Sus scrofa: one gene and its partners. The protein of the gene in region 5 purifies or fractionates together with the protein of the main gene of each other region. This does not show direct contact. Links are inferred from orthologs where the notes say so. Each region holds a gene or a part of one and is shown on either strand. Other genes may lie near its edges.

Region 1 (4,118 bases), on a different chromosome or scaffold from region 5:
TCTTATTCCATAAACACTGATGGTGAACCCGATGTATGCTAGGACCAAGGATGAGCATGGGGCTTTTCTATCTAGGGGAGGAGTATAAGTCCTCAAGTTATCATGGCCTCTTTAAGGCCAATTAATACGCAGCCCTGGGTCAGCATAGAGGGACTCTATGTACTTGAGGGAGGGCAAAGGAAGGGTCAGGACAGACTTTACAGAAGAGGTGCCATCAGAGCTAGTGCGTGATTTATTTACTTATTTTCTTTTTCTTTTTTGGCTGCCCCAAGGCATATGGAGTTCCTGGGGCCAGGGTTCAGACCTGAGCTACAGTTGTGACCTACACTGCAGCTGTGGCAATGCCGGATCCTTAACCCACTGTCCTGGGCTGGGGAATCAAACTTGCATCCCAGCGCTTCAGAGACACCACCAATCCCACTGTGCCACAATGGGAACTCCAGAGCCAATGTGGCAATAACACACAAAGATGGGAAGGATGGAGGGAAAACAAGGCTACAGAGGTCTCATGTATGAGGCTGGTTGCTTAGATTTTCCTGTAGTAATAAGAGCCATAAGAGTTTTAAATGGGTAAGTGAATTGGTCTGCTATGCCAGAGGATTGACTGCTCTAAAGTAGCATGCAGGAGAGTTGAGAATTCAGGTGAGAGGTACCAGGGCTTAGACCAAAGTAGAGGAGGGGCTGGAGAAGAGGGGCTGGGCTCCTAAGGCATGGAAAGACATGATAAGACGTGAGAATAAGAAAGGAAGGAGACTGCCTCACACAGAAATGGCTCAGAAGAACCCACCCTAGAGGAATGGACATGAAGGAGCTGGACAAAGAGGAGAGAAATTATGGGGTAGGGTGTGAGTCAGGAGAGACAGCATTTCAGTTGTCTGCCATTGACTGATTCAAGTACCCGCATAGGTTCTGACACCCCTCCAAAACTCCCAGGTGGCAAAGAGACTAGGGCTTTCTATTCAGGAATATGGCAAGTTTTTCATCACAAAAGAGCCTGGGGTCTGACATGGTTCTCCAGTGAGTAGAGACAAGCAAGGGTAACTTGGCAAAGTGGGAAATCAAGTACCAATCAATAAACAAGGAGTTAAGAGGAAAGCCCACAGGCCTCTTCACTTACATTAGAGCCACCTTAGCTGCTCAGGGTAAGCTGACCACTTTGCCTCCCAAGCAGGCTACCATGAGGACAAACAAACAAACTACACAGCATTACCCACACCAGGCTCTACCAAACCTTTGGGGAGACCAGTCTGCACAGCAGCTGACATGAGAGGCCCAAGCCAAGCTTATGAGTAAAGGCAGCAGGCACTCCAGGCCTGGGGAAAAGGACTCAGTGGTAGGCAGCATGTGGATTTTCTATAGGAGGGAAAGGTCCTTAAATCCAAGACTGGGCACCAGTGCATGCTTCCAAAAGGAGTCAGTTTGGGCCTTCCAGCAGGTTTAAGAACAGGATCTGAAGACACACCAATTCTCAGCTCTGGCCACTGCCCATCCACATCACCATCACCTACCAGTTTCTCGACCACTACAGCTTTTCACAGGCCCCTGAACCTGCCAGGCAACTTTGGTAGTCACACGTGTCATTTCCTCTTTGTAGAATGTTTTTTCTGACATCCAAGCCTCTGTCCAAGATGCAAGACTTAGCCTAAACATTGTCTCCTCTCTCAGATCTGTTCTTAGGCACTTTCCAGCCCCCTCTCCACCTACCGTCTCCCCATCACAGTCCCAAAACCCTTCTTTCAGAGACAAGAGCATTATATTACACCTCATTAGCTCTTGTGTCCAGGGGGCTCACTGAGGGCAGGAGCAGCTGTGAAGCACCACTGCAAAGTTTAAATGAATGGAAATAAACTGGGGCTTGCAGATCTTTGTAGCCTAATCCAATCAGGATTGTGAGCTCGGTGATATATCTTAACGCCAGAGAGGACACAGAACTGGGGTTGGTCACCTTCCTCCTGAAAATGGGTTTCAGGCCTGGAGTCTGTTCAAGAAGGAAGGGCAAGGTGCAGAGGGGGATCAGCGGCTCCTCAGCATAAGCGCCTAAATCTAGACCCAGAATTTGGCATACAGAGCCCAGACTAAGCGTCTGAACTAGGGCAAAAAGGGTAGGAAACCCGGACCAGTCCCAAGAACACTAGAGACCCTGGGGCCAGGAGACCTAAGGGGCTCTGCGGATTCAGAGAAGGGGCCTCACTTTCAGCCAAAACGCTGAAGGACGAGGCAGAACGGCCGGACTCCGGGACAGGGAAGGATTGCACACGGGGGTCTGCGCCCTTTGGGAAGCACGCTCAGGGATGTGCCGCTCCCACCCTCGTCGCCCTCGCCGGCAGAAAGGATGAAGAGCCGGTCCTCAAGGACCCTTGGGCCATGAAGGTGGTCGAGGCTCGCGCCGCCCTTCTGCTTGGTCGCCGAGGGCCCACCCCCACTCTCCCAGCTCACCCCCCGCGGGCCGGTCCAGCTTGAGGATGTCCCGCAGGTGCTGCGTGGCGTCCTCGATGTCGATGCTCGCGCAGGAGGAGGCCATGGGCCCAGCCGCGGACGCCCGGTCCGCACCGCGTTCGTTCCGCCGACGCCGCGCACCGTCCAGGGGCGCACAACCCAGCCAGGGCCAGACAGTGGGACGCCAGTCACCACACTCCGTCCACCTGAAGCTCGCAAACCGCCGCCCGCGCCGCGTCCCTGAGCCCCGCCAACCCCACCAACCGCCTCCACTTCCGGCCCGCCCGAGCTTCGGCTCCCGGAACCTGCCCTGGGCGGAGAAGAAAGGTTCCGGGCTGGGGGTGGCCGCCACGCACCCTCCTGAAGCCCGTCCCTACCGCGGTCCCGCCCCGGGACTAATAGGGTCGGGGTGAGGGGGAGGAGTTCCGCAGGGCTGAAGGAGAGCAAAATGTCCAGCTACCGGACCGCCCAAAGCTCTGATCGCCTCAGGATATCCCACCTGGTCCAAATCCACTCCCTATGGGCCTAGGACCAAGTCAATTCGGTTGCCAAGGTGAATCACTCAGATGCCCCAGGAACAAGTTGGATTGACAGAAGCCTCGGTTTCCCCTTCAGGAAGCGTGTGGTTGTAACCCAAGGCCTGACGGGATCTGAGAAATCCTGGACCCAGGAATTGCATGGGCAGGGGAGATTGTCTCCACAAACATCACATCACTCCTTAATGTCCCCCAGCATCCCCCTGCATGTCTTGGCACCCTTGGGCAAAAAGAAAGTAAACCATAGTAATATAAACACCTCTTTATTGCAGACATTTCAGGCACAGGTACATGGAAGAAGCTGTATTGCCGATTTTATACAGGGTGGTTTAAGAGGCAGCAGGTTTCTGCCTCTCCCCAACCTCCTCCACCCCCCAAATAACACAGCAGCCTAGAAATCCGTCTCACTGAAATCTCCTGAGTATGCTGTCTTTCCAAACAGCACACCATCCAGCTCTGTGCCCAGGGTAGCCAGGCAACAAGTGGGGGTCTGAGTTAAGTCCTTGGCTTCCATCCAGAGTGCAGGAGGGAGGGAGGTGGTGTTCAAGGTCAAGCAAAGCTGTGGTGCCCTCACCAATCCTAAAACCCCTACAGGACACCAGCCCAAGTCCTTGGATTGGTCCTAGCCTGTGGTTGCTACCCTGCTACCAGTTTTACACCACCAAGGCCTCAGGGCTAAAGGGCCAGATTTGTATTAGGCAAGTCCTGTTCCCCAAACTGAGGAGCAGAAACTGCCTCAGTATTAGAGATTTCTTGGGATTTGAAGATAATGTGAAGGGGTGGGTGGGTGTGTGGTAAGGGAAGGACTAGGAAGAGGCCTAGAGATGCCTTGCAGAGGTCTCAGAGGTGAGAAATCCTAGAACCTGAATCACTCAAACTCAGATTGCGTTCTTTTACAGCTCTAAATCTATACTCCAACTCAACTAGGCCTGGATCTGTGGGCATTGGAGGCTGGCTATTCAAGGCACTCCCCTTTGGGCAATGATATCCAAAGCAGCTGGTACAGCATCTAGGCTGCCCTCTGCTTGGCCTGGGATTTATGGGGCACACTAGATGTGATCCTGACTCTTCTGTAGATAAAACAGGCCCCTCATCCCTCAAACCTCTGCTCACTTGGTCTTGCTGAGCCCTCAGTCGAAAGGGACT
Region 2 (3,216 bases), on a different chromosome or scaffold from region 5:
GGCCCAGACAGAGGTGCCCGTCGGGCCAAGTCTAGGAAGCAGTGAGGGCAAGAACAGGGCTGCCCGGGAGGGTGCTGCACCGTCCTTCCTGCCACGCCACCCATGCCTCTGCCACACTCACCACACCCTCAGGGTCCACCAGGAGCAGGTGCTTGGGCTGCCCACTCTGCAAGCCGGTCAGCACGTACTGGCCAGGTGTGGTCGTGCTTTCCCGCACCAGGAAGTCCCCGTTGAGCTGCAGCAGTGCCTCGGCCTCGCGCCGGCTCAGCTTCCCGTGGAACCAGGGCTCCCCTCGGAGCTGCTCGGCCATGGCCACCGACTGGGGAGGTGGAGGCACCCGAAGGGCATCTTCGAAGGGCTCTGGGGGTGCAGAGAGAGGGCTAGGAGGGGGGCTGGCACGACACATGCCCAGGGCCCAGACCTTCAGGGAGGGGAAGCCAGGAAGGAAAGAGCAGATAAGCAGGAAAAGAAGAGGAACCCAGGAATTCCCGTCATGGCTCAGTGGTTAACGAATCCGACTAGGAACCATGAGGTTGCGGGTTCGATCCCTGGCCTTGCTCAGTGGGTTAAGGATCTGGCATTGCCGTCAGCTGTGGTATACGTTACAGACGCGGCTTGGATCTGGTGTTGTAGCTCTGGCGTAGGCTGGCAGCTACAGCTCCGATTCCACCCCTAGCCTGGGAACCTCCATATGCCATAGGAGTGGCCCAAGAAATGGCAAAAAGACAAAAAAAAAAAAAAAAAAAAAAAAAAAAAGAAGAAGAGGAACCCAGCGGGAAGAGGCAGGTGCAGGAAAGACAGAGGCGCACTTACTCATGTCAAAGAGGTCTCGGGGTGCACTGCCATTGATAGTAGGATTGGGGGGCCCGGCCCCGGCCCCTGCTTGCCGGGCCTTGTCTAGGTTCTGGACGTTGACATAAGAGGGATCATCAAAGAGCTCTCTGCCTGCTGAAGAAAGGGAGGCTTTACAGCGACCCCCGCCCTGCTTCGCACACCCCGGCTCTGCCCCTCTCAGCCCCCTTCCTACCTGGGCAGGGTGGAGGCGGCAGCATCTGTTTGCGGGCTTCTGGGTCGCCCCCAGGAGGCTGCCCCACAGGCTGAAGGGACAAAAAATCAGGTGAGGCCAGAGGCCCTAACCAGCCACTCCCGTCCTGGGCCCAGCCCACTTCCCCCCCAAGCAACTCACCAGTGTGGCTCCCAGGTGGCTGGGGGTCTGGGCGCTGGGGGGAGTGGGTCGAGCAGCCCCTGGGGGCACTCCTTCCCGAAGCCTCATGTCCACTACCCCCCCAAGAGGGGGCTCCTTCCCCGGAAAGTCATTATAGTACTGATGGTCAGGCGGCTCTTCCTCCTCCTCATCCCAAGCTGAGCCATCGAAGCCAGCCATCCTGGGAGGGACAGGAAGGAGAGAGGCACGTGGGAGGGAGGACGGAGGGAGAAGAGAACAGCGGCCATGGACTGCGCAATCCCTGAGGGGCAGGCTTGACGTGGGGTGTTTTATATATGGAATCATGTCCTCCTCCTGGCAACCCTAGAAGGTAGGTTTCATTTCCTTCTCCGATTTTGTAGATGAGGAAAATGAGGGAGGGTCGGGGGTGAAAAGATTTACCCTGGTCTCCCAACTAAAAATTGGTGAAGGGAGTTCCTGTCGTGGTGCAGTGGAAACGAACCCGACTAGGAACCATGAGGTTGCCGGTTCGACCCCTGGCCTCGCTTAGTCGGTTAAGGATCCGGTGTTGCCGTGAGCTGTGGTATAGGTCACAGACGAGGCTCGGATCCTGCGATGCTGTGGCTGTGGCCGTAGGCTGGCAGCAACAGCTCCAATGAGACCCCTAGCCTGGGAACCTCCATCTGCCATGGGTGTGGCCCTAAAACAAACAAACAAACAAAAAAAAAGTGGTGAAGGAGTTCCTGTCGTGGCTCAGTGGGAACGAACCCGACTAGTATCCATGAGGATGCAGGTTTGATCCCTGCCCTCGATCAGCGGGCTAAGGATCCAGTGTTGCTGTGGTTGTGGCGCAGGCCGGCAGCTACAGCTCTGATGCTACCCCTAGCCTGGGAACCTCCATATGCCACAGGTGTGGCCCTCAAAAGACTAAATAAATAAATAATTTAAAAAATTAAAAAATAAAATAAAAAGTGGTGAATCTGAGAGACATAAGTTCAAATTTGACTTTAGAGGCATGCCCTCGATCGTTATGCTGTCTCCCAAGAGGGAGGGGAAGCAGCACCACTATTTGGGGTGCTCCACCTACAGCATATGGAGGTTCCCAAGCTAGGGGTCAAATTGCACCTGGAGCTGCCGGTCTACACCACAGCCATAGCAATGCCAGATCCAAGCCATGACCTACCCCGCAGCTCACGGCAACGCCGGATCCTTAACCCAGAGACAGAGGCCAGGGACTGAACCTGAATCCTCATGGATACTAGTCGGGTTTGTTACCGCTGAGCCACAACAGAATCTCCCTCTGGAATATTTTAACCTCCCCTAAATTCTCAACACTGCTGGTCTGAAGTGGGAGAGGTAAGGATCTCAGGAAAGAGCCATGCTCCCTCGCCCAAATTCTTGATGGCTTCTAGGGGCAAGAAGGCACTAAATATGGAGAAATGGGCAAGAGAGAGGGACAGGCCAGAAAGAGATGGCTGGGACTAGGAAAGCCCATCCAGCCAGGAAGAGCTGGAGCGGGCGGCCCTGGACTACAGCTCCAGCACGGGCACCCGAGAGGAAGAGCTGGCCTGGCAGCAGGCAGGGCCTCGAAAGGCCTTCCCCATGGCCTCAGGAAACGTAAGAATAGCAGGAAGTGGGAAGCAGGGGCTCACAGGTTATTTCCTTCCCTGCTCCTCTCTGAGCTCAAGCGTGGGAAGAGCAGACCTACTTTTCCAATTCCGGTCCCAGCCCGAGAGCTGCCCCCCCCCACCGCTCGCCTGCTCACCTGTCATGAGGGGTGACCAGCTTGGGCGGGTTCCTGAGGTATTGTTTGAAGCGCAACTCAAAGGCCTGGCCAATGGTGCTGATGACGTCCTGAGCAAGCCCTTCGGGACACTCCAGGATGTGGCAGGCTGGGGGCACAGCAGAGGCTGTCAGGGAACTCGGGGGGAAGGCGGGGGGCACGCACAGACGGGGCCCTCGCCCTCATTCTCCGCAGCAGGAGCCCCTGCTGAGCTCCCGGGTCCTGCTCACCTGTCTCTCTGACAGCCGGCCCCACCCAGCGCTCCCCA
Region 3 (4,133 bases), on a different chromosome or scaffold from region 5:
TGTGTGTGTGTGTGTGTGTGTGTGATTTTTAACAGTCTTTTTCTTTATACTGACTTTCAGGCTTCAAAGTGTAAATTCTTGAGTTCAAATGTCATGTTTTCTTTCTTTTGAAGATAGGATAATAAACAAGGACCTACATGGGGGTGGGAGCAGTAGGTAGCAGAAACTGGAAGGTAGGTGGTTTGTAGGCAGGGGTGGAGGGAGGGCACAGAATAAGGTGGAAAATGTACCTGTCTGTCCTTTCGTGTCAGACCCTCCACGACTCTGGATGGAGGTCACATCCCACTGCCAATACGGAGCAGCTCTCTGCCCTTTTCTGGGCAGGCCTAGATCCCTCAGCAGCCCCATAATGGGGGCCTGACACCCTAGGGGTGCCATATCTTACTGGGGAGACGAAATAAGACACATGTTGTTTCTCTGCTTTATCGTGATGGGTATCATGAGCTTTACCAGGGCGAGCACAAGTTAAATGTAAGGTGTCAGTCTAAAGGGTAGAGACCTTATGAATCTCCAAATCCTATAGATAAGGTCTAGCATAGAACATTATCACCGATAACAGATGCCAAATAAATAAACTGAACTGAACTGAAAAGCAGGGGAAAAACTGTCTGCTTATCAAGTGCATTATAGTTTTGGGGCTTCCTTGCTGTGTCTTACTTTCTCATTTCTTAAAATCAACACTTAAGTTCCATTAAAAAAAACTTTATGTGAAACAATAAAAATGCTGACCTTTCTCTGACGTTGATTCAATGATTCATTCAGCAAATATTTGTTGAACACCACGTGCTAGGCACTGTCCCAGGTTCTGAATATATTAAAAGTATGCGACCCTGTTTCAAATAATAGTGAGCAATAATAAGAGCCCCAATGACTCCACGTCAACTAAAAGCTCCTGATGTGCACGCTGAATGAGCTGCTGTTCCGAGGTTTATCCTTCACTGAAGGTAGTCACATTCTCCAATATCACTAGCCATGTAATACCAAATCTCTTATTGGCAATGTTTAGGTAACCTGCATCTGCCCATCCAGAACCTTTCTTAAAAGTATGGGGTTGACTGTGACTTAAGAAGATGATGTGGTTGCTAGAAAGAATTAATAAGACTAGGAATTCAGAAACTGGGCTCTGAAGTGGTGTCACCTCTGTCACATCACTAAATTCCCCAGAATCTGTTTCCCCCCCCATCTGTAAAATACTATGAAGTAGAAAAACAGTAAAGCCTCTTCTAAGTCCGATATTTTACAATCTTAAATTAAGATCTGATTAGTTCTAAATCCTCAGAAGAACATAAACACCACCACATTTCGAGTTTTGGCTCCGTTCCTATGAATGATGCAAAATTTCCCTTTTTCTCTTGTGCTGTGACATCAAACAGACAATACATGTGCCAATGAAAAAAACATCTCTTGCCATCTGGTTCTGTAAGAAACGAAATCACCAGCCACCGCAGCCGCTGACCTTCCACACGCCCTGCAAGAAGTTCTGGGTGGAGATAAGGAATGAGGCACTCTGTCCTTTGGGAATAAACTGGCAGAACAGGCCCTCGGATAGTTAGATATTTTTAGGAGATTTTATGACCCTCCCCCCCAGCCTCTTGCATCTTCCATCTAGAAAAGCACTAAAATAATTAACAAAGACAGCTGCTCCTCCTGACCAGCAGCAATCTTGTGACCAAGCAGTAACCCTCTGCCCAAACATGCGCCTGAGCCCATGCAGCCCCTCCAGCAAAATCACAGAGATGCTGGCCTCCCCCCTCACCTCTTGGGAGCAGTTCCTCAGAGCCATCCCAGAGGCTGCCTCCCGGGCTCTAGTCCTCCTTTTTGCCCCTAATAAAACTTAACTCAGGACACTTCCACTGCACGTTTTTTTTTTTTCAGTCGACACATACATACATATGTAAATACACACATGTATAAATGCGTATATATAATTCTTTTTAAAGTCGTCGCCAAGAACACCGTTTTACAAGTGATTCAACCCTTCTACGTTTTGCCAAATGTAGCTGATGATTTCGCTACAGCAGGAACTTCAGCACCCTTTGTAGACTTTCTTTTCAGATGGTAAAGGGATTGAAAAAGGACGGGGGTGAGGGGCGGGGGCTGACCAGTGCATATTTTGTTATTACCAGGACTTGCAGTCTTATTTTTTTAAGATAAAAGGTTCCAAATGTCAAGGAGTTGCAGTATTTTGGACAGCTCGTCGGGCTAACGGTGGACATGAAGAAAGGGAGCAAAAACCATGGGACGAGACCTAGTTTACGTTGGAGGGAGGAAAAGAAATAACGGAGACTTTTACATTTTGATAAAAAGAGACAGACCCGGGATGGCACTGGGGTGTAGGACACCTGCCCAGCCGTGTGTCTACAGGTAATTTCAGATGCTGGAACCACTCGAGGCCCAAGTTCCTGGTGTGGGAAGGACTGGACGAAGGATGGACCTGGTCTGTTTCTGTTAATGGCTTTCACAAGTAGTGACCTATCCTACCCAGGGCTCCTGACTCAAAAAAAAAAAAAAAAAAAAAAAAAAAAACCCAAAACAAAACCCGAAAAAACCTCAACAGCTCGCAAACTGATAAGCCTAAAACGTTGGGTTTAAATTTCACTTTCGAAAAAAGTTGTACTCAAACCTCTTTATCCAAAGGATTTCGTTCGGAGCCAAAGATGCGAACTGTCACAGAAACCAGCTGACGGACTTTGCTAACTCGTTGCGTCAGGGCTGCCGCTCAGCCTGGAGTTTCAGCAGCGCGCAGCACGGGCGCACCCAGCGCTCCCAGCGCTCCCAGGGCGCGCGCCCGGGGCTGGGGGCGGGGCAGGAGGGAGGGCGTGGAGGTGGTTCCCTTGGAGCACCCAATCAGCAGCGAGGCCCGGCGGTGGCGCTAGTGACGTAGGCCGAGCTTCCCTCCGCCCCACTGCGGGCCGACGCTCGGCACCAGCAGCCACGCGAGCTCGCGCGCGCCAGGACGGGGAGGAGGAGGGGGAGGAGGAGGGCTCTGAAGCCGGCCGGCTGTCGGAGGGCGACGGGTCGCGGGAGGGGAAGGGGGAGAGTGAGCATGCGCAGCGGCCCCGGGGAGGGAGGGGGAAGTGGGGGCCCGTGCGCGCGCGCACGAGCGGCCCGCTGGCGGCCGCGGGTGGAGGGGGCGGTTCCTCGAGTGTCGGCGGTCGGAGGGTGGGCAGGCTGGCGGCAGGTGCCCCCGCGGCCGCCGCCGCCGCCGCCGCAGTCTTCTCGGAGTCCCGGATCTTCTCTTGCTCTGGTGGTGATGAGCGGGGCTCCATCGGGGGCTGCACCTGCCGACTGCCCATCACCCCGGGCCTCCCGGCGTGACCTCGGCCTCTTCACCAGACTGGCCCCCGCGGCGCCGTGCTGCCCCTGAGAGGGAGCGACAGCGGCCTCCACCGCCCCGAGTCCTCGCTCGGAGGCCGCGCCGGGAGAGCGCCCGGCCCCCTCCCCTCCCCCGTCCGCCGTCCTCAATGTCTCCCCGGCGGGGAGGGGGCTGCCTGGGAGACGCGCTGAGCGACCCCCCTCCGGAGGCCCATCGGCGGCAGCAGCAGCGCCCAGCCCGGAGCCCCGAAGCCTCCCCCGGCGGCGGCGGCCTGGAGGAGCCGCGCACACGCCGCCGCCCCCGTAGCCTCGCAGCCGCCGCCGCCGCCGCCCGGTGCCCGAGGAGAGGGCGGCGGGCGCCCTTCGGGGAAGATGAAGGCGGAGGGGGGCGACCACTCCATGATCAACCTGTCGGTGCAGCAGGTCCTGAGCCTCTGGGCCCACGGGACGGTGCTGAGGAACCTCACGGGTAATTGATGCGCCCGGGATGGGGACCGGGATGCGGTGCCGCCCCTCGCCTCTGTTCTCCCTCCGGTGGAGGGGAAGTGCTCCTCGCCGCCCCACCCCCGTGAGCTCGCTAGGCAGTTCGCGGTGCCGACCCCTGGCGAGGATGTTGTTAATTGGATCCGGCTGTTCCGGGGGCGCCAACCAGGGTCCCCCTTTCCCCCCCGGAGGCTCTAGAGTTCCCGGGGGAGAATCCACGACGGCCGCCTCCGCTCCCTGCATGGGGAGGGTCCGCGACCCCCATGCCTCCGTAGTACGCACAGAATTGAGTTAGTGCTGAGACTTGAGTACTGTTAGCCTTCAATTATCCCTCC
Region 4 (4,104 bases), on a different chromosome or scaffold from region 5:
GTCAGTTTTGCTTAATTGATGAAGGCAGAAAATTATAGACAATCCTAGCAGAGTGCATAGCACATACTAAAAACTTAACAAATACTGAATAAATGAACTTATTCCAAAACTATTATTATCTCATAACTAGAGGCAGAAACTAACTCCAGCATCTGTTTAATCTTTGTAACTGCCATAGAGTCCTTTAGGTTTTCCAGCTATTAATCACTTTCTTCCAGATGGGCAGTGAAGGAGAGAGATGAAGTGAAAGAAGTCCCTGCCCTGAAGCATACCTATGTCTGTGTGTGCTGGGGGTGGAGTGGGGGTTGGTGTGATAGTAAACAGATCAATAATGAATGTGAAACCAGGTTGCATTGTTATTTCAGATTATTTGCCTCAAGCAGATAAAAAAATCAAAAAACACAAATCAGCCAAGTTTTTAAATAACAAGGAGGCACATTATAACAAATATATTAACATTTGGGAAGGTTCTTTTTCCTGAGCCTTTACAGTATATCTTATTCTCTCTTAATGTCTTAAAATCAAAATATTCTAAATTGATTTATTTAGATTTTCAATGTAAATGAACCATCAATGTTTGTTCTCTCATATGTGAAACACTGAAGGATTATATTCCTGATTCAGTATTTACTCTGTGTACAGGTTAATATTTAAATATATAACTGCAAGAACATACTTAAATTATTTAACTGTCTATAAAACTGACAGAGCCTGAAGAAAATATCCAGAGATGAATGAGAGTAAATAGAAACTAAAAACACAGTCTTACAGGAAGAGAATAAAGTAAGCACAAAACTAGGAAGCAAATCTATACAAGTCCTCAGGAGAACAAAATCTTCAGGAAAGGAAAACTCCTGCTGGAAATGGCTAACAGAGCCAGACAGCAACAGCCTGCCTAAAGGATCTTGTTTAATGGGTATCACTAACTAGACTATTAAAAAGTGAGCGCCCACTCCAAAAAAGTGAACACTCAAAAGTCAATGTTGCCATTTCTCAAATTTCAGGAATACCCTTACAAAGAGATTTGCCACCAAGACAAAATCCCCACATTCCAAGTATTCTTCCCCATTATGTGCTTGTCAAAATAGGATAAGCAACACCAGAGTGGGAAATAAACACACTTCACTTATGAAGCTGATAATTCCTGCAAGCTGAAGTTAATTTTTATTTTACCTGAGGCACGTGTTTACAATGTGATTCCTGGTTCCTGGGGAGAATATTTTTCACTCAGTCTATCTTAGAATGCTTGGCAAAATGCCCCCACGTCTCTTGCTCCCAACACGGAAAACTCTCCAGCCCAAATGTATAACCTATCCCCGTGTTTTGCCTTAGAAGCCCTGACAAATCCAGGCCAAGGAGACTACAAGGTGGCAGGGAAATACTACAGGGCAGGCAGGAAGGCTTGCATGGGCCCCAGCACAGAGGTGCAGAGCCACCAGCTCACTCGGGAGAAAGCAGGCTGAAAAGTAAGGCTGGGGTGGGTTTGGTCAAAAAAGTGGAAAGGGACTGACAGGTGCACATCCCCTCATCATCCTGTACATCATGGAAAGATTACAACAAGCTTTCTTTACAGAGAGGGGGGCACGAGGCTCCCAGGGAGAGTGAGGTTGAGCAGTTTTACGGGAAGCACGAGGACTGGGCTCTGAAGGAAGCAGAAAGGCAAGGAAAAGACCCTGAAAACAGGTTTTGGTGAAGATTCCCCCAGGATGAGCAAGTCGTTCCCAGCACCGAGACTGGAGGAACCATCACACCTGTTAAAGGATGACTCCCTGTTATCCGCGTGGACAGCGATGTTGACCCCACAGAGTAGGAGTGGTAGCACAACTGAGGGAAAGACTGAATCTGGGGATCTGACGCCGCACGAAACCTGATCAGGAGGGGAAGAGGCTGAATCCCAGGACGGGGCCAGCAGGGCAAGGGTGCGTGCGCTCCGGTGGGATGAGACTTATTTGGAAGAGAGCTGACTTAAGGAAACTACTGGGGAAGAGAGGGCTATCGCCGGACTCCAGCAGGAAAAGGCCGGTTTAGAAAGGAAAGCCTGGCTCGGAGGGGTCCTGGGTGTCCGGCTCGGGAAGGCGAGCCTCGTGAGGGACCGGGGCTGAGCCGGGGGGGCTGAGGCTGATCCGCGCGAGCTCAACAGGAGCTCACCTGGGGAGCGTGTGGCCTGGAAGGAGGAAACTTCCTGGGTGGGTGAAGGCGGACCGGAGTGAGAGAGGTGGGCACCGACCGAGCGGGGCGAGGGGCACCGAGGGGTCGAGGGGAGTGGGCGCCGCCTGGGGCGGCGCCGGGGCGCAAACTGGCCGGGGCGGGGTCTGGGCAGCCGCCGCGAAGCTGCCGGCTCGGGATGGCGCCCTCCCCCCGTCACACTCGCACACACACACGCGCGCACACACACACACAGACACGCGCGCGCGCGCTCCGTCTCGGTCGCCCCGCCCGCCCGCCCGGGCCCGAGAGAAACTGCCCGGGTCGGTGAACCACAGGGCAGTGGGGGAGGGGGCCAGGGACACCGGCCGACCAGCCCACTGGACGGGCGGGCCGCGTTACCTGTGTCAGGGAAAGCTGGGCCGCCGCAGCCATGGTGTTTCCATCATGCACGGGAGGAGAAGGAAGGACGAGCGGACGGGGTCTCCGGGGGAGGAGGAGGCGGAGGGAGCGGCCGGAGGCGAGGCCCGGGCAGGCGGGCGTCTCCCCGAACTTCGACAACTTCCCTCCTCTCGCCCGCCCCGCCCCGCCTGGCCCCGCCCGCCCGGCGCAGGCCGCGGCGGCCCCCAAATCCTGGCGCCGGAGTTGTTGCCACCGGACCGGAGCCTACTCTTGGGGCCGCCGGAGAAAACCCGGCCCGTAAAGAAATGAAGGTGGGCGGCCTGTGAAGATAGAGGCAGAGGCCGCTCTCCATTGTCCCGAGAACTTTAAGCAAGTCACCTGCCAACTCTAAGCTTCTGCTTCTGAAAAAAGGGGGAAATTATATCCAAAGTCCAGATTGCTTGTGAGGATTAAATGAGATCTTTATAAGAAATAACAGCACTTTATATATGTCAGAATCTATGTTAGACGCTTTATTTTTTAATTGTATAAATGAAGGGACTGAGACATAAATATATTGCACAAGTGAGGAAACTGAAACACAAATAGGTGTCACACGTAAGCTGGTTCGATAGCTGGTGAAGTAGAATCCACGTCTGACTCCAAAACTTTTCATTTAACCACCTGCTATTACAGTGTGATACCAACAAAGAAGACTCTAAAGTCATTCCCTCCGGGAGCTAGAGTCTACCTGGGAGGGGGAAAGAATGCTTTCCTGACCCACTTGCTGCCTCCCACACTCAGATTGTTCCATAAATGAGCACTGGGAGCTGCTCAGGTGCCTGCCGCATTCCTAAATCCTCCCCGGGTCCACCTGACAAACTCCTCTTACGTTCTCCAGAAACAACTCAAGGATCACGTCCTGTCCTTCGCAAAGCATCTCCCGACCTCCGCAAGTCGGAGCTACACACTCCTCTTTTTAACACTTCTTCTCTACGTTATGAAGTCACCACCCTGATGACCGTTTCCATCTGTCTGCTCTCTCGACTGGGAGCCTCAATGATAAGGACTGTTTCTGATACATAGAATGTGTTAGGTGTTCATTATAAGGCCTTAATTCCTGCCAAGTCAAACATGACACAGACTACACTTTCTTTGTCTCTTTTTAGGGCTGCACCTGCTGCATATGGAGGTTCCCAGGCTAGGGGCCAAATCGGAGCTGCAGCTGCCGGCCTATGCCACAGCTGCAGCAATGCCAGATCCGAGCCGCATCAGCGAACCACACCGCAGTTCACGGCAAAACTGGATGCTCAATCTGCTGAGCGAGGTCAGGGGTCAAACTTGCACCCTCATGGTTACTAGTCAGATTCGTTTTTCACTGAGCCATGACTGAAACTCCTATACTTTCTTTTTGTTTGTTTGTTTTGCTATTTCTTGAGCTGCTCCCGCAGCATATGGAGTTTCCCAGGCTAGAGGTCCAGTGGGAGCTATAGCCAACGGCCTACGCCAGAGCCACAGGAAGATGGGATCCCAGACGCGTCTGCAACCTACACCACAGCTCACGGCAACGCCGGATCC
Region 5 (4,031 bases):
TATATAATCCTAAACAAAAAGCTTATTTCCCACATTCAATCTGCCAAAAAAGGTTATTAAAAGCCTCAGCATCACTGACTTTAGACAGCAGATGCCATCTTCTTTCTTTCTTTTTCTTTTTTTTTTTTTTTGCTTTTTAGAGCTGCAACCGCAGCATATGGAAGTTCCCAGGCTAGGGGTTCTAATTGGAGCTATAGCTGCCGGCCTACGCCACAGCCACGTGGGATCGGAGCCACCTCTGCGACCCACACCACAGTTCATGGCAACGCCAGATGCCCAGCTCACTGAGCAAGGCCAGGGACTGAACCCAAATCCTCATAGATACCACTGCACCACAACGGGAACTCTTGAAGGCCATTTTCTTGTCATCCTTTCCTTTTGGTCTTTAAGCAGAACCTGGGACCCAAGACAATGACAAAAGTGTTCAGTCCTCAAGGGATCTCAAAAGGAAACTGGCTTTGACAAAAAAAAGAACACAGTCCAATAGTGTCTGATCTCAGGTCACAATTCCTAGGTTCCAATTCCGGCTCAGTCATTGACTAGCTGTGTGACCTGGGGCAAGTTACTGAATTTCTGACCCTGTTTCTTTACCTGCAAAATGGAATTTTGCTTTGTTTTGTTTGCTTTTTAGGGCTGCACCCCCAGCATAGGAAGTTCCCAGACTAGGGGTCAAATCAGAGCTGTAGCCACTGGCCTATGCCACAGCCACTGCAACTAGGGATCTGAGTCACAAATAAGACCTACTCCACAGCTCATGGCAAAGCCAGACCCTTAACCCACTGAGCAAGGCCAGATATCAAACTTGCATCCTCATGGATACCAGTAGGGTTTGTAATCCACTTAGCCACAACTGGAACTCCCTAAAATGTAAATATTTTAATAAATGGAAATCACAGTAATTTCCTCACTAGACTGTCATAGACAGTAAACGAGACAAGGCACTAAAGTACTCAGCAAAGTACCTGGCACAGAATGACCAGTCGATAAATGTTAGCTATTAATATTGTATATGCTTAAGTTCAAGAAATTCTTCTGTGTGGTTTCCAAAGAAAAAGAGCTCAATGGGGGCTGGGCAGAACAAAGATTAAGTAATCTTTAAAAAGACGCAACTGAATCAATTGCCCTATGTGGAAAATGGGTACATGGCGGAAAGAACAATTACAATAGCCATGAACTTTCCACACCCCATCCACAAACTCTGGCAATCTTCACCTTCTCTCTTGGGCCAAGGATCTGACCTCCTATCTGTTATGAAAAGGTGGAGCTCAGTATTAAGGTAAGATCTGAGATTAAAGTTCTAACACCAAGATGTGGGGAAAGCTCAAACAAAACTGCCTGCCATTTCCAAATTTTGTAACCAACAAAACACATACACAAACAAAAGGTCAAGAATTGAGTTCCAATGATCATTTGCTGTGTCACTGCCCAGCAACGCAAAACCCCAGACACTAGGAAGGTGGTAAAAACTCGAATACATCCGGTTTAGGGTAAATACATGTTACATACCTATTCCCATCTCAGGTTATAATGTTATAAAACCAATCAGACTGAGAAAGACCTAGGATAATTTGTGGGCTTAAAGATTCCACACTCTTTTTAAAATTGGTATGTGTTAACAAGAGAAACTATTTCATCTTCCCATTTCGGGTCAGAGGGGATAAATCTAAATTAGGATTATTCTAAAAGGGCAAGTCTGCAAAGGGCTAGTTCAGGAGACTTTCAATTCATGTGAGACTAGCCTGAATCTAGTTTCAACTGGTCAGGAGGAAACTGCTTCAGCTTGGTGAGCGTGAAAAGGCACTAAGACCCTAGGTGCTGTTACACAGGTAACAACAGCCTCAGAATTACTCTGTACCTCACAAACTTCAAGTACCAAGTGCATAAATCCTCTTCACACTCCCCAAACAGCCCATGTTATGTATAAGACAGACATATCTAGGAAAATTCAGGCAACAACCCCCAACCTACTGAGCAAGGAGAGACCCTGCAGTATAAGACTGACAATGCTGAAGTCCAAGGAAAAATGAAGTTCCATTCACTTTCAGGGAAGGGATTGTTTCCATTGGCGTATATCTGGTTTATTTCCTGAAAAAAAAAAAAATTCTTTCCTCCACTATTCGCTTTGAAAACTACAACCCCTTAATTGTCAAAGACAGTCGCTGGACACCAGGATCTCCTCGGCACAGTCAGCCGGGCATCAGCTTATTCTGGGCTGGTGACAGGGGACCTTTCTTCTATAACCAAGGCACTTAGCTCACCACCTTCGTCCTCCGCGGGGGAAGAGGACGGTAAAAGTATTTTGGAAAAATGCCCAAGAAAGGAAAAAGCTGACCGGTTTCCTGAGGGTGTCTCCATCCCTCCCGGCCGGTATGCGGTGACTTCCTACCAAAGGCCACCAGGGGAGTATAGCCAAACCCGGCTCTCCAACACTGCAGGAAATGTTTCAAGCCTAAAAAGCCACTTGTAGGATTATCGGATTCATTCCGGGCACCGCTGCCAAGTGATGCCCCCGCAGTGCCAACATCCCCCTCAGCTCTTTGTCCCCACGTTGCCTGGCCCTGCACGGGCGCTAGCCCCACCCTGGGGCCGAAACAGTTCCCCTTCCCCTGGGCTGTCCTCCCAAGTCACACCCAGAGGCCTGGGTCAGCGGCTCCTCCTCCCCCACACACTCCCGCTCGTCCGTGGGAGCGAGCCGGACAGCGGGCTGCCCTCCGGCCACGGTCACTCCAGCCCGCTGCCCAAGTCCCTCGTGGGGGTCAGCTCTCGAGGAGCAGCCGGCTAGGCTGGGGAGTTCGGCGGCCCTAACCCCCGCCCGGGGCCTCCCGTCCCTTCCGTCCCTCACCGGGCGGAGGCTGGGCGGGCGACGGTGGCACTGGCGGGCGCGGGCCGCTGCTGTTGATGATGTAGTGGGAGACGCGCGAGTTCTCGGAGACGCTGAGCACATAGTCCCCGGGGCTGGTGCTCGAGTCCCGCACCAGGAACACCCCGTGCCGCTGGCCCTGCAACAGCGCCACCGCCTCCTGCCGGCTCAGCCGCCCCCAGTACCAGCTACTCCGCTCCTCCGAGTCGAAGTTGCCCGCCATGGCCGACTCCGCGCCTACACGCTGGGCCGCCGCCGCCGCGCGCGCCCCTCCAGTCCCGGCGCCCGCCGCCCAGCGGACCGGCTCGGGTCTCCGCTTCACAGCAGCGCCTGAAATGGCGGCGGCGGCCGCGGGCCTTCCCCACCGGAAATGACGTACTCCCTGCCTCCGGGAGGATGCCGGGAAGGGGACTGCCGCCCGCCATTGGGAGAAGGGCAAGGGGCGGCTCGCGCGCTCACTGCGCATGCGGACTCTTGGGCGTCGCCGCCTGGTGGGGACAGGGACTGCAGAGAGTGGAGAGGCGGCGTCTAGGGCCGAGGGGCGGGGCCTCAACTAGCAGTCCGCAGAAGTTTGTCTGTGCGCTGTTGGCCACGCGGTTCTGGCTAGTCCAGGCTTCAATTTCCTGGAAGGCCCGGTGCTTCTGGGCAGCAACTAGGAGACAGAATTGGAGTAGAAAAGGTGATGTGGCCTCAGGGCCTGAGTTCCCTGAGACGAATATTTTCTGAATATTTTCAGATCTGTTAAGCTCTTGTTTTCACTGATTCATTCAGCAAACAGTTGACACCACGTTTGCCTTTCGGTCGCAGAGGTCATCTAGGCTGGGCCCTTCCCTCGGGGAATTCTCAGACCCCGTGGGAGGAACCAGGAAACAGGCCATGACGAAGGGATGCCAAGCCATTTGATGGGGGTAAGGACAAGGGGCTCTAGGAACATAGAGCAGGGCCCCCTAATCCATGCTTTAGAGGAACCCAAGAGTACTTCCCAGTGGCTTGAGCTGAATATTGAATGGCAGTTGGGGAAAAGCATTCAAGACAAAGGGACCAGAGTGTGCCAAGTCAAGGAGACATATGGAGTCCTCTCTGTTGAGGCTTTCAAGTCATCTGCCCAGATTCTCTAAGTCTGGCCTTGGATATCCTCTACTCTCCCTGCCGTCACGATCACTGCTATCTC
Region 6 (3,989 bases), on a different chromosome or scaffold from region 5:
TCTGAGCTTACTTATGTTCCCTAAATAAGTGCTCTTTGTGCATGGAACACAAAAAAATACATATATTCCCTGTACAGCTAAGGTGTGAAGTTAATTTGTACATTACCAAACTGATTACAATGATCAACAATAAGGGATATATTGCCCGAGAATGGAATGAATTGGATGTTCAAAGCTACAGGCCAGCATCTGTGACTTGCTCTTTTGTGATTTTTCAGTCACTAAATGGATTGGTCAAGTGTTAGCTGAATTTTTTTGTTCAAAACCTTCATTGGGCTCTACAAACAAAATCAATCTGGCAACCTTATTTCTACCTTGGAACAAGACTGGAAGTGAAACTACAAAACAGCTTGTGAAATATTCAGCCAAATTACTTCCCTAAACTCCTGTTTCATATTCTGTGCATTGTGAAGTATGTTAAAAAGCCTTTTATATTTGATAACGCCCTTTACAATCTTGTAAAATGCCTTATAAACACTTTCTCAGGTGTCGGATGCAAAACCCTACCCTCTTCAAGCTGCAGATAAGGATGTGGAGATATTGCCAAATAGGATGTCTTTTTTGTCCCAGATCACATACTGAGTAAGTGGTAGAGTCAGAACCAGGTTGTGGTCCCTGATTTTCAGCTGCTGCAGAACTCCCGACCCAATTAAAGGAACAATACCTGCGCTGAGACACTGCGTGTGCCCAACAGGGATAAGAACCACATAGACTTCCTAGGAATTCCGACTTTCGGAAATGTCTTGGGAAAACTTAGTGGAAGACAGGTTGCGCAGGTGTGCAGTGCAGCCTCAAACTGGTACCACTGGGAATGGTTTGCAAAACAGGAAGGTGCAGTTGGGTGTGCCGCGACTTAGTTAATCTGGCACTCCCCCACCTCCCTCCCGGGCGCCCCATTGCCAGATTACTTCTGGCTCAGTGCCCTCAACGAACCATTTTCTCAACTGGGAGGGCTGCGTTCCCATCGCCCTCGTGCCCACCCTACTACTCTACCCGCCACCCTCCAGGTTTACCTGACAAAGCTGGGAGCGGTTTAGCGGAGGCGCGTCAGCCCAAGAATGCCCGGGGGCGTCCGTGACCCCCAGAGTGGGGAGCAGAGCCCGGCTCAGGAAAGGACGCTCCGGGCCAGGGGGGCGCGGCGGCCCGGCCGGGAGAGTGTCGTGTCCCGAGCAGGCCTCAGGGCGGCACTCTGGTCTCGCGGCCGGCGCGCTCGGGCGGGACGCTGGGCGCCGACCCACGCTGGCCGGGAACGTGTCTCCCGGTGACGCAGCCCCGGGTGGGGAACGTGGTGCGGCGGCGGCGGCGACGGTACGCGCCTCCGCCGCCCGCGAGAGGACGTGCGGTGCAGCGAAAGGCAGCGGCGGCAGCACAGCTGGACTTGGAGGGCCGGCGGGCGCCGGGAATCAAGACGCAGGCGCCGGCGGGGAAGTAGGTCCTGGGCGCGGCGCTCAACAAAGAGCGGGGCCGCCCCCCTCAGGTACCGAGCCGGCCCCGGGCCCCGGCGGGCGGGCAGAATCCGGCCCGACAGTTCGCGGGCGGTCAGGGAGGGGGAAGGGCCGCGGCCGGAACACGGCAGCGGCGGGGCGCTGGGGACCCCTTCCAGGCCCGCTGGTAGCGGCTCCCGCTGGGGCGGAAAGGACGGGACTGGGCCGCTCGGGGTTGCAGCCTCTGCTCGTCCCTCGTGCAGGCGGAGCTGCGGGCAGAGGCTCCATGTTGGGAAGCGGCGCCGCTCGTCCTCGTTAGCGGGAATCGGGGCGCCGCGGGCACAGCCGGCGGGGGCCGGGCCCTGAACGAAGATGGAGGCCCCTCTGCGGCCTGCCGCGGACATCCTGAGGCGGAACCCGCAGCAAGACTACGAGCTCGTTCAGAGGGTCGGCAGCGGCACCTACGGGGACGTCTATAAGGTGAGGCAGGCCAGGCTCTTTTCCTGCGGTCCGCTGGCTCCCGGGAATAGGGCCACTTTCTGAGGAAGTGTGAGAAGGAAGGAGGATGCTTTTGTTGTTGCATCTTGGAGATGCCGCGGCCGGGTCCCATTTACTCCATTCGGAGCGCCTTCTAATCCATGCTTGCACTGATCGCTCCAACAAGCAGAACTAACTACACCTTTGCGAACCACCGTTGTACTTTTTTTGTGCGTGTGTGTGGTATAAAGGCTTTTTAATGCTTATTTATGGTATCCAAGAAAGTTCGAATCTGCTTATGGAGTTGCGCTTGAGGATATTCTTGTCTTAACATGGAAAAAATGCTTCCTGGAAGACAGTAGACAAGGAAATATATTGACGTTCTCACATTTTCACAAAAAACTTTTTGATGGATGATGCTGTTTTAAAAAGTCCTTTGAAACCCCAGTCTCTCAATTTTAACTGTAAGTAGTCTAATGCTGGGTCAAAGTGATGTGTGCACAAACATTATCCTATGCAGAACAATGCTTTTCCTGGTAGAAGTTTTGGCATTTGTATCTGATGATGATTTTCTAATTCTTCTTTGGCAATTCCTCTCTCTGGGATTGATAACATCCCATGACCCAGAATAGTTAAGAGCAGCTGTCTTTTTAATTGTGCTCTTTTGCTTTATTTGAGACAAATGATGGGAATGAGTTACTCTTAGTTTGAAAAAAAAAAAAAAAAAAAGTCACAGGCAAGCAAACCCAGTTCCCGAAATCCACCGAGTTCTTGAAGGATCAAGAGGAAAGAGATTGTTTCAGATTGCCTTATGCTTTTTTGTTCTCTGTTCCAAAAAGGGAGCATTAATGTAACTCATATGGGTATGTTAAGGGAACTTGCCTTTGATTTTGCAAAAGCTTTGTTTATTGTATTTGATCATGTCATGTATCCCATTATTCTAAACAACACTCCTGCATATAGCTGAAATAGCCTTGGGTAATTAACCAGAACACTCCTCTGGGGTATGTTGTTTTTGTACAGGTGGTAATATGGAAGGAAAATATCCCTTCTTCCTAACTTCTATTTTTAATATCCTCTCTGTTAATAGTAACAATTCAAGGTTGGGTTATGACAGCTCTAGCACTGTTTGAGTCTGTTGAGATGCACTGTAATGGATAGGCTTTTTATCCTTTAAAACAGCATTTGAATCTTCTGTACTAGACACTGTTCTAGTATGGGATGCTGAATTGTGAGAGGAAGGTTCCAGTTTTTGCCGTGTGAATAATTTTAATTCAGAGTGGGTAATTACAATAATCTTCTTTATATAAAATTAGAGGTAGTTAACTCTTACTTGTTTATCCATGGATTAGTCATTTTGTGGAATGCTCTTTAAAAAATTGAAATTCCTGTCTGCTTTCTCAGTCCCACTTTTTAGTCATCTTCGTCTTATGATTCACTATGTGTTAGACTGGCTCAATTCATTTCATGTTAATAACATAATAGTCTGAATTTTAGTTCTTGTATTTTTCTCTCCTCCCCACTGCAAGAAAATTTAAAGTGTTTTCTCCATAAAAATCCCAAGAACTCCACCTTTTTTCTTTATAAATATAATAACTGAAGCAAGTGTCTGGAGCAGGGTTTTATTCTTTCACAGAAAGCAAAGGGTTATATTAAAGGGGCAGCTAATGCTTGCCTTTTACTCTGGTGCCTCCCTGCCCTATCTTTTCTCTTTCATAGCTCCTTCACCGAGGATCAAAGACTAAATATTTATCATACACCACTATCACCCATCCCCAGACAGTTCCCTTCCCTCATATTCATGCTTCCTCACATTTACTTGTATACTCATTCCACACCAGAACAGCTTCTGATTCCTAAACATTCTCAAAACTCTGGTCCCTTGTCTTCCGTTTTCCTTTGTTCTAATTACCTAGAATCACCTCCTACTCCCATTTCCAACTGTTGCTATCTTTCCTGTCCAGGAAAGCCTTACTCAAGTGCTCCTCTGGGAGGCCCCAGCCTCTCTCCTTTTCTCTCCTACCTCATTTACTGCTGTTCCCCCTCCTTCATTCTCTTCTACCCACACTGGTCTGCTTGCTCTTCCTT
Region 7 (4,072 bases), on a different chromosome or scaffold from region 5:
TGTGTACTAGTTCTGAAAGTTTATGCCTAGTAATATCTTGTATCATGTCAATGTACATTTTAGTCTCTAAAGCAAGTCATGTAGCCAGAACTAAGCTGAAACAGAACAGTAAAGTGCAATTCTGTGAGGTAGGAGGAGAACTGGAACAGCACTAATGCTTAATATCTTATTTAAAAAATGACTCTAATTTTATTGATGAAAGATAATATCTCAGTTTGATTTCTTTTACCAATGTAGATGAAATTTTCATAATTTATTAGCCACTAAAAAATTTAGTCTTTCCTTTCACTTAAGCTTTGTAATAAACATGTGCTATTGGTTTACTTTTACATTTCCAGATTTTTGAATTCTGTTGTCTTTGTGAGGATAGATCATGATGGTGGTATTATAGGGGGTGCAGACCTTTAGAAAATGCCTTTTCTTTTGAAAACTCAAAAGAGGAAAGAAAGATATTTTTCTTGAATCAATCCCCCTCACCCCCGCTAATATAGTGCACATTTTTTTTTTTTTTTTTTTTTTTTTTTTGTCTTTTTGCCATTTCTTGGGCCGCTCCCAGGCATATGGAGGTTCCCAGGCTAGGGGTTGAATTGGAGCTGTAGCTGCCAGCCTACACCAGAGCCAAAGCAATGCAGCATCTGAGCCATGTCTGCGACCCACACCACAGCTCACGGCAATGCCGGATCCCTAACCCACTGAGCAAGGCCAGGGATCGAACCTGCAACCTCATGGTTCCTAGTCGGATTCATTAACCACTGAGCCACTGAGCTCCTATAGTGTATGTTTTGATAAGTTTTTTATTTCAAGAATTGTCAAGAGAGTTCCCATTGTGGTGCAGTGGGTTGGGGCCCAGCATTGTCTCTGTGAGGGTGTGGGTTCGATCCCTGGTCTTGCTCAGTGGGTTATGGATTTGGTGTTGCCACAAGCTGCAGTGTAGGTGGCAGATGCAGCTCGGATCTGGCCTTGCTGTGGCTGTAGCATAGGCCTCAGCTGCAGCTCCAATTCGACTCCTAGCCTGGGAACTTCCATGTGCTGCAGGTGCGACTGTTAAAAAAGGAAAAAAAAGAAAAGAATTGTCAAAATTTTAAATAATTATAGACAATAATTATTGTCTAGCAGAATTAAAATCCTTGCCATTCTACAGGTTTCGCAAAAACAACTTCAATACAAAATTTTAGAAGGTGTAAATGATCAAGTTAGGGTTCTCCTCTTGAGAAAATTAAGTTCCTTTCTCAGGTTTAGTCATATTGACCCTGTCTTTTTCCTTTTTTCAATTCAGGTATCTGCCTAAACTGGAACCTTTGCTGTAGACATTTCTTTGTGGATTTATCTGAAAAACTAAGGTGAGACATTTGGTGAATACATTTGCATTTTAAAATATGTTTTGTAAAAAGAAAAGAATGGATAACAATAAAGATTTTGCAGTAGTAAAGAAAAGATAAATAAAATATGTTTTGCAATAAATAATTGTTTCTGAAAAATGTGAGGCATTAAAAATGTAATGTCTTTTCCTCTGAGAGTGTTAATAGGAGGCAAATATTTATTATAAAGCTACATATATAGCATGCTTACTTAGTTTGTAGGACATTTGAAACAAATGAAGTTGATTCTAGTGATTAAAATAGTTTTGAGTGAATTTTTCCTTTTTTTTATACTCAAAGATAGAGTTTACACTGTTACTCTCTGACACACTTGGAAAAGATACTGGCATTATAATCAGATATTCTTGAAGGCAAACCCTCAATTACTTAAGTCATAGATTACAACTGGTAATTATTTTAATAGTACAGTTATTAAGAGTTTTCTATCACTCTGTTCTCTTGAAGTTGATTATTTTCTATAGTTTCCTCTGTTTGGGGGCTTATAAAGTAAGGATGTATCCTTTTTGTATGTTCGTGTTTTTTTCCTATAGATAGCATTTCACTCTAATGATAGTATTGTAGCCCTGTCCCTCTGCTTGTATGTCTTGGCTCAAGTCTTCTCTACCTCTTAATTTTTTTTAGTGAACCTTTAGAAGTCTGTCATCTGGTCTTTCCATCAGTTTCCACTTTGAGTTCAGCTTTTCTCTAAGCCATTCTTGTCACACTTATGAGGGTGCTTTTTCTTAAAGATAAATGACATAATTTTAGTCCATGACTCAGAATCTTTCAGTACCTTTCCACTGTTTAAAGGATATTTTATAGATTCCTTTACAGAGCAGTATAATCTGTTTTATATTCATTTTTCCATCTCACTAGTGCTCTAGGAATGTTAGGAACTAACATTTAAAAAACAGCTTTACCGAGAAATCATTTACAAACCGTAAAATTCACCCAATTATTTAAATTCAGTGGCTTTTATTATATTTACAGAGTTATGCAGTTATCACCAATTTAATTTTAGAATATTTCATCATGCCAAAGAAACATCAGTGCTTGTTAGCTATTAGTACACATTCCTCCCTGTACTCATTCCTGGTGGCTTATTAATCTACTCTCTCTCTCTATATCTGCCTATTCTGATCATTTCTTATAAATGTGATTGTACAATATGTGGTCTTTTGTGACTTATTCCTTCCTTTTAGCATAAAGTTCATCCATGATTCAGCATGTACCAGTACGTCATTCCTTTTTATGGCTGAATAATACTCCATTTTATGTGTCAGGAGCTCAGCTGAGTTAGAGAGAGAGAGAGGCAGGGGGCAAGGGTAGTGCTGAGCTTCCAGGTGTCAAGGTATCTGATTAAAAACACTGATCCAAATGAGAGTAGCAGTCCAGCCTTTATTCACTTATTGGGATAGTATAAGCAAGAGGCTAAAGATGAGAAAGTGCAGGCCCCCTCACTCAGGTGAATCAGTACCAGGTGGGGAAGGGGGGCTGTCTTACTGCTGAGGGAGGCAGTTTTATGGATCCAGAGCTGGTTGGAGGGAGAGCTGGAAGGGCTTCGAGTGGAAAAGTGCTGAGTTAGAATAGAGAAAAAGTGTCTTTAATGTTTCCTCCCTAATGAGAAGATCCCAGAAGAGGCACCTGAAGAAAGGCCTCAGCTGCAGGTCACAGATAAAGAAACTTCTGAAAGTAGGTACCTGGGCTAGGGATGCAGCTATGCTAAAGAGCATGGTCTGCTGGGAGTGGGGTGGGGGGCTCAGTCCTTGACTGTAACTCTCTTCAGAGACTGCAGTACACTCACTGTGCACCAGTCTGCTGAGGGGAGGGCAGCTTTCCCATATGAGGCCTGCCAGGTAAAGCCTTGGTAGTGGTTTATGGTCAGGTTGGAAAAGTCGCATGTAGATGTCTTGATTAGAAGTTAGACTCCTCGTTTTTCAGGGCTCTTTGCAAGGGTACTGGATGCATAGTTGCAAGAAGGTAGCAGTTGCAGCAGTTGTGTCTAAAGCTTCACGATGTTTCCCTCAGCCAAAAATGCACTAAGTCGTCTTGGAGTTCGAAACATTCAGCAAACAATGGCAAGGCAGAACCACCAGAAGTGGGCACTTGATTTCCATGACAAATATGGTAATGCTGTATTAGCTAGTGGAGCCACTTTCTGTGTTGCTGTATGGGCATATACAGCAACACAAATTGGAATAGAATGGAACCTGTCCCCTATTGGCAGAGTCACCCCAAAGGAATGGAGAGAAGAATAATCATCCCATCTGGTTTAATACTGAATTGTTTCAAAACCACCTCATAATTCATGCCAAGTAAAAGCACTGCGTACCCATTAAAGTATGGCATGATTGAAGAAATAAAGTATATTTGAAACCTTCAAAAAAAAAGGTTAGACTCCTCATTAAACATATACCATATTTTTGCTTATTTCTTCATCAGTTATTGGACATTTATTTAGGTTGTTTCCACATTTCGGCAATTATGAATATTTTGCTGTGACCATTTGTATTTAAGTTTTGTATGTACATATTTTCACTTCTTTTGAGTATATACCTAAGAGAAGAATTGCTGGGTTATTTGATAAATCCATGTTTAACATTTTGAGGTAACTGCCAAACTCTTTTCCAAAGAGACTATCATTTTACATTTACACCAGGATGTGTGAGAATTTGTTTCTCCATATATTCATCAACATTTGTTATTGTCTTCTT

The links.
Region 1: the proteins of CRK (region 5) and EDC4 purify together in Homo sapiens (affinity purification with mass spectrometry; 3 studies listed by BioGRID and IntAct, with this or other methods). This does not show direct contact. The link is inferred for Sus scrofa from reciprocal best matches to the Homo sapiens genes CRK and EDC4.
Region 2: the proteins of CRK (region 5) and SHC1 purify together in Homo sapiens (affinity purification with western blotting; 3 studies listed by BioGRID and IntAct, with this or other methods). This does not show direct contact. The link is inferred for Sus scrofa from reciprocal best matches to the Homo sapiens genes CRK and SHC1.
Region 3: the proteins of CRK (region 5) and NEDD9 purify together in Homo sapiens (affinity purification with western blotting; 3 studies listed by BioGRID). This does not show direct contact. The link is inferred for Sus scrofa from reciprocal best matches to the Homo sapiens genes CRK and NEDD9.
Region 4: the proteins of CRK (region 5) and EPS15 purify together in Homo sapiens (affinity purification with mass spectrometry; 3 studies listed by BioGRID and IntAct, with this or other methods). This does not show direct contact. The link is inferred for Sus scrofa from reciprocal best matches to the Homo sapiens genes CRK and EPS15.
Region 6: the proteins of CRK (region 5) and MAP4K5 purify together in Homo sapiens (affinity purification with mass spectrometry; 4 studies listed by BioGRID and IntAct, with this or other methods). This does not show direct contact. The link is inferred for Sus scrofa from reciprocal best matches to the Homo sapiens genes CRK and MAP4K5.
Region 7: the proteins of CRK (region 5) and PEAK1 purify together in Homo sapiens (affinity purification with mass spectrometry; 4 studies listed by BioGRID and IntAct, with this or other methods). This does not show direct contact. The link is inferred for Sus scrofa from reciprocal best matches to the Homo sapiens genes CRK and PEAK1.

Annotation. Positions count from the first base shown.
Region 1 is NC_010448.4:28,488,109-28,492,226, reverse strand, and holds the start of EDC4 (enhancer of mRNA-decapping protein 4), read right to left. Parts: upstream 2,801-4,118; 5' UTR 2,522-2,800; coding exon 2,437-2,521; intron 1-2,436. UniProt on the Homo sapiens protein: In the process of mRNA degradation, seems to play a role in mRNA decapping. Component of a complex containing DCP2 and DCP1A which functions in decapping of ARE-containing mRNAs. Promotes complex formation between DCP1A and DCP2.
Region 2 is NC_010446.5:94,825,834-94,829,049, reverse strand, and holds part of SHC1 (SHC-transforming protein 1), read right to left. Parts: intron 3,058-3,216; coding exon 2,931-3,057; intron 1,386-2,930; coding exon 1,187-1,385; intron 1,098-1,186; coding exon 1,028-1,097; intron 949-1,027; coding exon 814-948; intron 361-813; coding exon 122-360; intron 1-121. UniProt on the Homo sapiens protein: Signaling adapter that couples activated growth factor receptors to signaling pathways. Participates in a signaling cascade initiated by activated KIT and KITLG/SCF.
Region 3 is NC_010449.5:8,090,754-8,094,886, forward strand, and holds the start of NEDD9 (enhancer of filamentation 1), read right to left. Parts: upstream 2,801-4,133; 5' UTR 2,624-2,800; intron 1-2,623. Other genes in the region: TMEM170B (transmembrane protein 170B), read left to right, coding at 3,465-3,784. UniProt on the Homo sapiens protein: Scaffolding protein which plays a central coordinating role for tyrosine-kinase-based signaling related to cell adhesion. As a focal adhesion protein, plays a role in embryonic fibroblast migration.
Region 4 is NC_010448.4:160,652,514-160,656,617, reverse strand, and holds the start of EPS15 (epidermal growth factor receptor substrate 15), read right to left. Parts: upstream 2,801-4,104; 5' UTR 2,581-2,800; coding exon 2,548-2,580; intron 1-2,547. UniProt on the Homo sapiens protein: Involved in cell growth regulation. May be involved in the regulation of mitogenic signals and control of cell proliferation. Involved in the internalization of ligand-inducible receptors of the receptor tyrosine kinase (RTK) type, in particular EGFR.
Region 5 is NC_010454.4:47,682,397-47,686,427, forward strand, and holds the start of CRK (adapter molecule crk), read right to left. Parts: upstream 2,801-4,031; 5' UTR 2,036-2,800; coding exon 1,969-2,035; intron 1-1,968. Other genes in the region: uncharacterized protein LOC110255905, read right to left, coding at 3,316-3,512. UniProt on the Homo sapiens protein: Involved in cell branching and adhesion mediated by BCAR1-CRK-RAPGEF1 signaling and activation of RAP1.
Region 6 is NC_010443.5:180,296,692-180,300,680, reverse strand, and holds the start of MAP4K5 (mitogen-activated protein kinase kinase kinase kinase 5), read left to right. Parts: upstream 1-1,189; 5' UTR 1,190-1,477; intron 1,478-1,687; 5' UTR 1,688-1,796; coding exon 1,797-1,904; intron 1,905-3,989. UniProt on the Homo sapiens protein: May play a role in the response to environmental stress. Appears to act upstream of the JUN N-terminal pathway.
Region 7 is NC_010449.5:57,441,870-57,445,941, reverse strand, and holds the start of PEAK1 (pseudopodium-enriched atypical kinase 1), read left to right. Parts: upstream 1-1,272; 5' UTR 1,273-1,340; intron 1,341-3,136; exon of another isoform or gene 3,137-4,072. UniProt on the Homo sapiens protein: Probable catalytically inactive kinase. Scaffolding protein that regulates the cytoskeleton to control cell spreading and migration by modulating focal adhesion dynamics. Acts as a scaffold for mediating EGFR signaling.